3 linked regions of the Kluyveromyces lactis genome follow. The protein of the gene in region 2 interacts with the protein of the main gene of each other region in a pairwise test. Links are inferred from orthologs where the notes say so. Each region holds a gene or a part of one and is shown on either strand. Other genes may lie near its edges. The genes, in order: CCT6, STU2 and BIK1.

Region 1 (3,195 bases), on a different chromosome or scaffold from region 2:
TAAGGGCGTGAACTGTAACATTGGATTTTAACAAGTCATTGACTCTCATAACAGATGATATTATAGCGGTGCTCCTAGCATCCATGATCAGTACTTTCCAAACGATCTCTTGTTCATCAAGATTGCTTGTTGCTGCTTCCGTTCCTTTATCTGAATTGAACAGTAGCATCTTTTCAATAGACAGAATCTGTCTGTCTCTTAAGGACAATTCTGAATTCAGCATATTACTCTGGTATATATGTGATCCCGATGAGGTATGCTGTTCAATGGTTTGCAGTCAATGACTTCACTCTCGTCCGTACTTTCTGTACTTTTGGTGTGTCTGTTTATTATAAAGGTGCTTCCAGTTTTGATGTTTAATCATTTTTTGAAGTATATTAGTATTTCGTTTTCGGTGATGGAAACGGTATTTGGCCAACACGTAGATTTGGATCTATAGCACTCGTGAAGAGATCGCATATTACATATACATCGGCCAAACTTGAGTCTTGTACTTCGTATTTATTTCCATTTAGTATACATAATTCTATTTGATTTTGGAACCTACGTTAAAGACAGTGATATTTTTTAATTGTACCAGCTTCATTATTGTGGTGGACCTTCCTTCAATGTAGATCTACCGGCTCTGAGTAGTTCGTCGCATAGCAACAAGTTAGAGGCTATACCTGCGGCACCAGTTACTGCATTTCTGAGGACACGATAAGAGTCCCAAACACCTTCTATAGTTGGATCACAAGAGTCGCCAATATTTAGATCAACACCCACTATTCTTGTCTCATCTTCTTCCAACTCGTCTTGGCATTGGGCAAGTACATCAAGGGCATCATATCCGGAATTCTTTATTAATGTCTTAGGAATAGACAAAAGTGCGTCTGAAAAGGCTTGTACACCTGTTTTTGCTTTACCTTTGGCGCCTAGCTTGTTCATATTCGCCCTTTTCAAGTGCTGGGAAGCAGAAATGAAGAATGCCCCAGCGCCAGGAACGACAGCACTGTCTTTGATGACATTTGCAACAGCTCTTAAACCATCTCTTACTGCATCTTTGGTTTGGGTCAAAGCGTGGTGAGTAGAACCTTTAATCAAAATGGTACAAGACTTAGGATCTCTGTTTTCGGTGACGTAAGTAAATTTCTCCTCGCCGATAGTTTCCTGGTAAACCAATCCGGAATAACCTAAAATTTTAGGCGAAAGATCATCAACGGAATTTTGAGCTTCACCCCCAGTGACGAGTTGTAGTCTTTCCATATTACGTCTCTTGGCTCTTCTTAGAGCAAGAATGTTGTGTTTAGCAAGAACATCTAATGACATTGGGTCGATACCTTTTTGGTTTATGATAACAAAACCCTCTTTAGAATCCATACCACATACTTCATTCTTCAAGTCGATGATTTTTTTTAATTTCTCATCAACAAATTTTCTTTCACTAGCAGCCAACTTGTCTCGTTGGTCAGCAGAGCTGTAAAAGAAACCAGAGTTGACTTCCGTCTTCTCATATTCCAAAGAAACATTTAGAATCAAAACATGTGCATTTTCGACTCTGGTTGGCATATCAGGATGTCTTCCTCCATGATCCAAAATTAATCCTTTAACAAAAGTGGTATCCTGTGGAGATAGATGTTGCATTTGCATTATTTCAATCATGTGTAAATCTAGATTTCTGTTGTTAGGATCTTGAACAGCCAAAACAGCATCAGTGACGATTGGTGTTAAAACTTCAGTGAGTTCTGGGTTGACTTTAGTACATAAGGAACTTCTGGCAACCTGCAATAAAAATTCACGATCCAAATCCTCCTCAGCGCTCTTTTCGATTTTGAAGGTATCCAAAAAACTTAAGGTTTCCTTTCTTGCAATCTCAAACCCGTCAGTAATTGTTCTTGGATGGACACCTTCTTGAATATATCTATAAGCTTGTTTCATCAGTTCTCCCACCAAGCAGACAACGGTTGTAGTACCGTCCCCAGTAATTTCATCTTGGGCAGTGGCTGCACGAGCAATCATGACAGCAGTCGGAGACTGTATTTGCATTTCAGTCAATAGGACTTTACCATCTTTGGTCAACTTGATATTACCGGCACCATCGACCAACATTTTCAAAGTACCCTTAGGTCCTAGGTTAGTTTCCAAAACGGATTGAAGACCCTCCGCTGAAGTGACGTTGACTTTTAAAGCAGCATCTCTTCTTAGGGACTCGGCCTTTGGATTTAACAACTGAACTGACATAATTATCTTGCTTTCTCTCTATTATGCACTGCACGTAATTGGTATTGTCAAATTATGACTTTTGATCTGGATAATAAGATGCAAGCAATTGACTGCAATGAATATCACAACTAAATATTAGAGAGTATAGATTGATTTCGGTTCTATTAGAATCAACGTTGTGGACGAAAATGCAACAGTATCTTTCACTCTTTTGAATGTTATTCTTCTTCAACACCGAACGTTAGCCATAATTAAAAGCTTTACTTTCTCCATCAGAAAACTTAGATCACTGTTTTCGATTAATTTTTTTTCTTTGGAAGTGGCGAAAGCTAATGGTTACCCGGTTATTGAAGCAAAGCAACAATCCATGCTGTCGTGATCCTCATATTTATGCAAAGATGATGAAGATTATACTTTAGTAGGACCGCACATCTTCAGTATAATAAATACTAATAGTGGTTTTCAATGAGAATTCTCTAAATATTTTGGTCTTCTGTAAATTGATTTATATGATGATATGTATTGAATCTATTCACATGAAAGACTATGCCGAAATGATGTCCGTTATGACGACGATGATGGCTGTTTTATGGATTGTTTCCTATACGAAACGAGGTAAACAGTAACTTTCTCTATTGATATTCATTTTTTAACTATTGTCATTTCACTGGGTCTATTTTATCCTATTTCTTGGGCCGCCTGGAGACTTCTTGTTCCTTGCCGTCAAGACTTCAACACCATTCTCGGTGACCAAAAGGGTTTGCTCAAACTGAGCACTAACTTTACCATCCTTTGTTGAAGAAGTCCAATCGTCAGGCCAGGTGATATCTTGCCATACACCTTCGTTAATCATAGGTTCTATAGTGAAGACCATTCCAGGTTTCATGACACCGGGCGTTCTGTTGTTAGCATAATGTGGAATGCTGGGGGCACAGTGGAAAAACTCACCGACACCATGACCACAGTAAGTCCTAACAACAGAGCATTTGTTGG
Region 2 (3,765 bases):
TGGACGAGGATATGGGTGAATCTGTTGACATGGTATCGGAAGTACCGCCCGTCAGTTTACTCTCTAACTCCTTGATCTTTAAATTCTTAGCGTTCAATTGATCCTTCGAATCCTGCAATTGCCTTTGTAAATTGGAAACGTATGTCTCAGACTCGTTCAAGAGTTTATTTACTTTGGAAAGTTGTAAATTGGATTGATTTAAGTTGGATAAGAGATCGTTGCGCTCCCTTAGCCATTCTTGTCTCTCTTGTCTTAATTTGTTCACTTCATCGTTTAAATGTGACATTCTGTTGGATATGTTTGTCTGTGGTGTGAAATTGCCAGAGAGGCTTGTGTTGGAACTGGTATTAGATTTGGGTTGTGTTGAGGAAGGCAGATCCGTATGGTTCATCATTTGATGAGTAGTTAGAGACCTTGAAGTCAACCTGGACGACTTCGTGTTGCCATTCAAGGCAGAGTTACGTGCCGGTTTCAATGGAGAAGTGGCCAGTCGTTTTGAAGGGATCGTTGAAGACAAGGGTTGGGATCGTACTACTGGTGCCGCTGATCTTAATTGGGTTTGCGGTTGGGTTTGGTGTGGAGGTGGAACCGTTGCCGCCTTGATCTCCACTTTATCAACAAGTTCAAGGATCTTCTTCCTTTTCAAGTTATCGAGCTTGTCCAAATATGTTGATAGTTCTCTTTCATCGAATATCTTAATTAAGATAGCAATACACTTGAAACCCTCATTTCTTGTTGCCTGTTGATTGTCGTTTACAATGGGCTGCAAAGAATTGAGTATCGCTGGCAAATTGGAGAATACCGACGTTCTATGAAGAGTTTCAGTCGGTGTCCAATTGGATAGCAACTCGAAAAGAAATTTCGAGCATACAATTTTTACCTGTGGTACTTTGTTCTTCATGTGTTGTAACACAGACTCGAGACATAGCTCTAATTTATAGTACTTTGAAAGGTTCAGGAGAGCATTGAAAATAGAATCTGCGACGTTTGGTTTTTTCTCCTTTGATCTAGTTAGGAGAGCGTTTAAAGTTTCCAATGCGAATGGGTTATATTCTGATCTTAATGCGGATATTAGTATATCTAAACTGCTGGTAGATATTTGTACTGCTTGTAGGTTTGCATCGGAAGTGATAGTCGAGCAAAATTTGTGAATGATTTCAGAATGATCTTCATTTGATGCTGACAATTTTTTAACCTTGGTTAAAGTCTGATCGTGGAACTCTTCTAAAGCTTCCACTCTATCCTTCCATTTGCTAGACGCCAAACTCTGATAGAAATTATTCGGTAGCTTATCTAATATAGTTTGTACGGGGAACATATCATATGGATCGATTGATTGGTTATCCAGAGCAGCGGCAGACTGGCCGTTATTACCTGCCATTGCTAGATCTCCGTCATGATCCAAGGGTAAATCAGTTGAATTGTTATCACTCTGAGCCGGGACTGCCCATATAAACTGAGACGGTGTTGAAGAAGGCGGTATAGTGCCCTGGTACGATTCAAACAGTTTATCCAGGTCCTTCTGTTGTATGGGCTTCAACTTCCCCAATAGAAGCTCTTGAAGTACAGGTTTATTAAACCATGTATATAGTTGTAAAATCAACTGCATTGACTCATTCCTCACAGATTTATCCGCATGTGAGCAAAGTTTAGGTAAAACTTCCACTAGACCCTGTAACGATTGCATCTTCTCCTGTTGAGAAACGTTCACGAACCCAAACTGCTCTATCAACTTTACATGAACCATTAACGCTGCAGTCAACAGCTTCGGTAATTTTTTGGTCCAAATCGGCGTCAGACAATTGATTGCATTTACGATATTATCATCCAATGACACGACAAGCGAAACGCAGGCCAATGAAGCCTCTTTCGTCGCTGATTTCGAGGAAGTCATACCTTTCTCCACCAGAGCTGGAACCCAGCCCTGAACCAATTGACCCGGCTGACACAAATCTCTGATCTGGGGTACGTCGATCATAAATTTCAACAAACTGTACAAGGCCTTAACGGCAGATTCTTGTGCAACAACATTGGAATCCAATACGTACCCCGTGAAAATCTCAGGTTTCTTCCAATACTTATTAACGCCACTCTCTGCAACTCTAGCAACGGACAGTTTATTGAATGTGCTTTCTAGCTCATTATATCCATGCTGTCTTGCCTTCCAAAGCTTATGAACAAGTCTCTCATCTAGTGACAGAGTCTGAAAAGACGCCGAATCATCCGTAGCGTTATCCATGGGAGATATACACACGCGATACAGCTGGCAGCACCCTGTGTTGACTCACTGACCGTCTATTTTATTCATGTTGTCTCGTCTGTTTGTTTGTTTACTGGTTGATTTTGATTGTTTTTGTTTACAGAAACGATTGATTTCAAGTCATGTGATATATCACGTGACTTTGTTGATATGCTTTGGATCGGGTTTGCAGAAACCTGAATAATGGGAGGGTAGGATCTATTATACACGTACACGCCCCTCCAATCACTCAATCGGCGCTGATGCGTGTTGGTTGAACATTATACAGTCAATTCAAGCCATTCAAAACACCGTTACACGAGTGTTGGCGCTTCCACCTGCTTACAAATGGACGGGTTCTAGCTGATTCCAGCTCTCGATTCCTGATTAGCAAGCAAAAATTTGTCAAAAACTCGATATTTAACCAACATTATTATATAAAGGAAGTAAGATACATTTAAAGGTTATTTAGTTGTCTCTTCGATTGATTATCGGATAATCTGATAACTTTCTATCCTCATCAAATAAGGTACAATTTATCTTTACTATCCCCTCCAATTTCATATATAATGGTCGCTCAACTTACTTCCGCATCCGAATTCGAAAAGGCTTTGACTGACGACAAGTTGGTCGTCGTCGACTTCTTTGCCACCTGGTGTGGTCCATGCAAGATGATTGCCCCAATGTTGGAAAAGTTCGCTAAGGAATACGAGGGTAAAGCTACCTTCTTGAAGGTTGACGTTGATGAGTTGCCAGATGTTGCAAAGAACAACGATGTCAGTGCTATGCCAACCCTAGTTTTCTTCAAGTCCGGTAAGGAAATTTCTAGAGTCCTAGGTGCTAACTTGGCTGCTATCAAGCAAACCATTGCTGCTAACGTGTAAAATTTTTTGTACACTGCTTATAATATACATTTTACTATATATATATCAGAATAAATTCTTTACATTTCTATTCTTTGATCATGGTTTCTATCTCCTTCTCAGTGTGCCCCAGGATGTATAGGACGTCTATCATTGTATCACTGTTTAACTTACATGGGGCTTGTTCTTGGACCTTTGGCTTGGCGTTCCATGCGATTCCGAACCCAGCTGCGGCCATTGCGTTCAAATCATTACCACCATCTCCGACCATGACGGTGGATTCGATCGGAGAATTGTACTGTTCTGCAAGAGCCACCAACGTCTTGGCCTTGCGCACTCCGTCAACTATATCGCCGAGTGCTTCACCGTTCAATTGTTCAGTACCGTCATCCGACACTTCCACACCCAGAGTATTAGCCAATGCAAAATCGAAGTTTAACTTTTCCTTAATGTAGTTAGCAAACGGGATGAACCCACCACTTAACACTGCCAATTTACAACCTTGGGACTTCAACGCCCTCGATAGCTCTGGGACACCCTTGGTGACTCTTAATCTAGGTTTAATTTCATCGTATAAGTGTCTCGTTTGAATTCCCTTCAATAATTTCACACGTTCTCTCAAAGATTGACAGAAATCGATCTCATTATTCATGGCACGGTCCG
Region 3 (2,599 bases), on a different chromosome or scaffold from region 2:
AATTTCAACTAAATGAGCAGCATAATCATCAGAATCAATAAACAAGGTTACAACGCCATTATTCAATAGAACAATCAGATCATCATCCTCAAATTTTGCGTCTTTCAATAGAACAGAAATATTTTGACCATGACTATTCTGAACAAATTCCAAAATATCATCTTTAGTCATATCCTTCCCATCAAGTACTAATTGACTGGATAAGTAAAGGTAAGTCTTTTCTTTCAACGCATTGACAGCATTGAACACAGGTACAACAGGCAACATTTCTGGTGCTTTATGACTTCTTGTCTTAGGTGGACAGTCCTGAATGTAACGAAATTTGATAAAGCATGACGACTAACTTATTTTTTTTTCATATTTCATATTTTCATTTTTATATACCAGGAGGCTTGATTTTTGCAGTGGATTGTGAAAATATGATTGAACGCATATGCACTGAATTACATGAGTCATATGATGAAAAAAACACAGGAAAGCCAATGAAAACTCGAAGAAGAAGTCCGGATGCGATTGATGGACTGTAGGTAATTCATTATAAGATGATTCATTATATGATGATGCGCTAAGTATGCTATATATATGATGCAAGTACAACAATGGATATTAAAAGGGACGAATTTTGACTCTAAAAGAATTTGTCGTCGTATGGGCAATCTACTGATTCATGACCGTCTTTTTCGCAAAGAGCACACCACAACGAGCGCCCTGCAGCTGCATTCACTAAAGTTGACTTTACTTCGGCACCTGGATTGTATAACGGCAAGGTTTCAATGTTACTGTCCACAATAAGTGTATTTTCTTCCTGTTTTTTGGATAATTCTTCGACTCGGGATTCGAGCTCCCCAATTTTTTTCCTTGCATCGTCTAATTCCTTGTTGAGAGTATACTCTTTTGTCTCTGTATCATGGGATTTCTGTTGATACTCTGTCATCTCAGTAGTCAAATTTTTATATTCTTTTGATAACGACTGGTTACGGAATTGCAGTTGCTCCTTCTCTTTCTCCCATTGGACCCTATGCAATTCAGCTTGAGTCTTGTGTTGCTGTAGTTCTAGTATCTGTTCCCTTAAATCGTTAATTAAAAGGGCATCACTGTTCGGTTCATCTTGCATAACATAATCATTTTCAAGGGAATTTTTCTTTTCCTTCTGCATAATCTCGGCTAATATGGCAGCATTCCGGTTTATCTCAGATTGGAGCTCGTCTATCACAGTCAAAAGCTGATCATGTTCACTTTCATAAAACTGCTTTTGGCGCTGATGGGACGTTCTTTCATGGTCGAGTTGGTTTTGAAGTAGAACTTTCTCCTTTTCTGTGGTATCCAACTTAGTCTCATATTCATCAATTGCAGCTTGGATCTCCTCGAATACAATTCGTTGATCCTCTACTAGTCTTTTGTATTGAACTAGCTCTGTTTGTAACATTTTTAAGTCCGAGGAAGTAGTTTGCATCGGATCGTCATTCGGTTGAATGACATTTGAAATACTAGTTCGCGACTTGATTTCAGGAAAACTGTTTTGAAGAGGTTCATGATACCCTAAAAAATTTGCGTTAATCCTTACGGGAGTAGGTGATGCAGGTGGTATGGTCATATTTGCCTCAGGGTTAGAAGGTATTGGGATCAAGTTGGCGATCTTTTCCCATTGGATAAAAAGTCCACTTTGAGGGAAAGAAGTCTCAAAATACCGTCTGCCTCTGAAAGTTCCATCGTTTTTTCCATTGCCAGCAAACAAATTGATACCAACAAATGTTCCTTTCTTTGTTTCTACTGAGCCAATGTACCGTATTTGCCCTCTACCTATGTTAGGAACTTCAATTACCAGTCCTATACAGTCTTGATTATCCATCACTAGAAATAGACCGTTGGGATGTGAAACGAAGGTGTTTTGGGCATACGTTTTAAAAATTTACCAAACCAAAGAAAAATCAGGAAAGGCTGAGAAAATACTGGTAATTAAGGTATTTGGAAACGTTACCTCAGGTCTGTTACTATCGTATCTCCATAGATTAAGGATTTTAGTTTTTTGCCTATTGACTGTAAATATTGTTATTATGACAAAAGGTAAATAGAACAGAAAACTCCTTCACGTGAATCTTGACTTCCAAACAAGAAATGAAAAAGCAAGGCGAACTTCATGCGATGATATTCTGCTGAACAGCAATAGAACTAGCCGCTTCTGGTTCCTAAAGTAGTTATTCGTAATTGTATTCATAAATGATGTTCACTATTTAACTTTCCGGACGTTAGCTACAATACAGTAATTATATCATTAAAGAAAATTGGTAAACTGGTAAAACTAGAACAAGGTAAAAGGTAATAAAGAAGTGATTAGTGATGGCTTTTTTGTTAGGTTTCATTAGGGTGTTTCTTTTGAACACTGGTATATTCTAAGTGCCTCCAGGGCCATGAGTAAATCCAGAAGGATGGTTGCAATGAGTACGATAGAATAGCTGTTTTTTCTTACTTGGTGCAAAGACCAATGTGAAAACATACATTCAACGAAGAAGGTTGGAGCTGTTGGGTTTATTCAATTCTATCGAGGTGTGTTTAATATGGCCATCATAAAAAGAGCTATCGATCAGATCTTGTTATCCAA

Evidence for each region.
Region 1: the proteins of STU2 (region 2) and CCT6 interact in a protein complementation assay, tested with the Saccharomyces cerevisiae proteins (2 studies listed by BioGRID). The link is inferred for Kluyveromyces lactis from reciprocal best matches to the Saccharomyces cerevisiae genes STU2 and CCT6.
Region 3: the proteins of STU2 (region 2) and BIK1 interact in a two-hybrid assay, tested with the Saccharomyces cerevisiae proteins (3 studies listed by BioGRID, with this or other methods). The link is inferred for Kluyveromyces lactis from reciprocal best matches to the Saccharomyces cerevisiae genes STU2 and BIK1.

What each region holds. Positions count from the first base shown.
Region 1 is NC_006040.1:1,555,763-1,558,957, reverse strand, and holds CCT6 (chaperonin-containing T-complex subunit CCT6), read right to left. Parts: upstream 2,221-3,195; coding exon 586-2,220; downstream 1-585. Other genes in the region: SLY1 (syntaxin-binding protein), read right to left, coding at 1-223; methionine aminopeptidase MAP1, read right to left, coding at 2,876-3,195. UniProt on the Saccharomyces cerevisiae protein: Molecular chaperone; assists the folding of proteins upon ATP hydrolysis. Known to play a role, in vitro, in the folding of actin and tubulin. In yeast may play a role in mitotic spindle formation.
Region 2 is NC_006041.1:1,461,109-1,464,873, forward strand, and holds the start of STU2 (Stu2p), read right to left. Parts: upstream 2,240-3,765; coding exon 1-2,239. Other genes in the region: thioredoxin TRX2, read left to right, coding at 2,809-3,123; SER2 (phosphoserine phosphatase), read right to left, coding at 3,191-3,765.
Region 3 is NC_006039.1:110,917-113,515, forward strand, and holds BIK1 (Bik1p), read right to left. Parts: upstream 1,850-2,599; coding exon 629-1,849; downstream 1-628. Other genes in the region: HIS4 (trifunctional histidinol dehydrogenase/phosphoribosyl-AMP cyclohydrolase/phosphoribosyl-ATP diphosphatase), read right to left, coding at 1-267. UniProt on the Saccharomyces cerevisiae protein: Required for nuclear fusion, chromosome disjunction, and nuclear segregation during mitosis. Probably required for the formation or stabilization of microtubules during mitosis and for spindle pole body fusion during conjugation.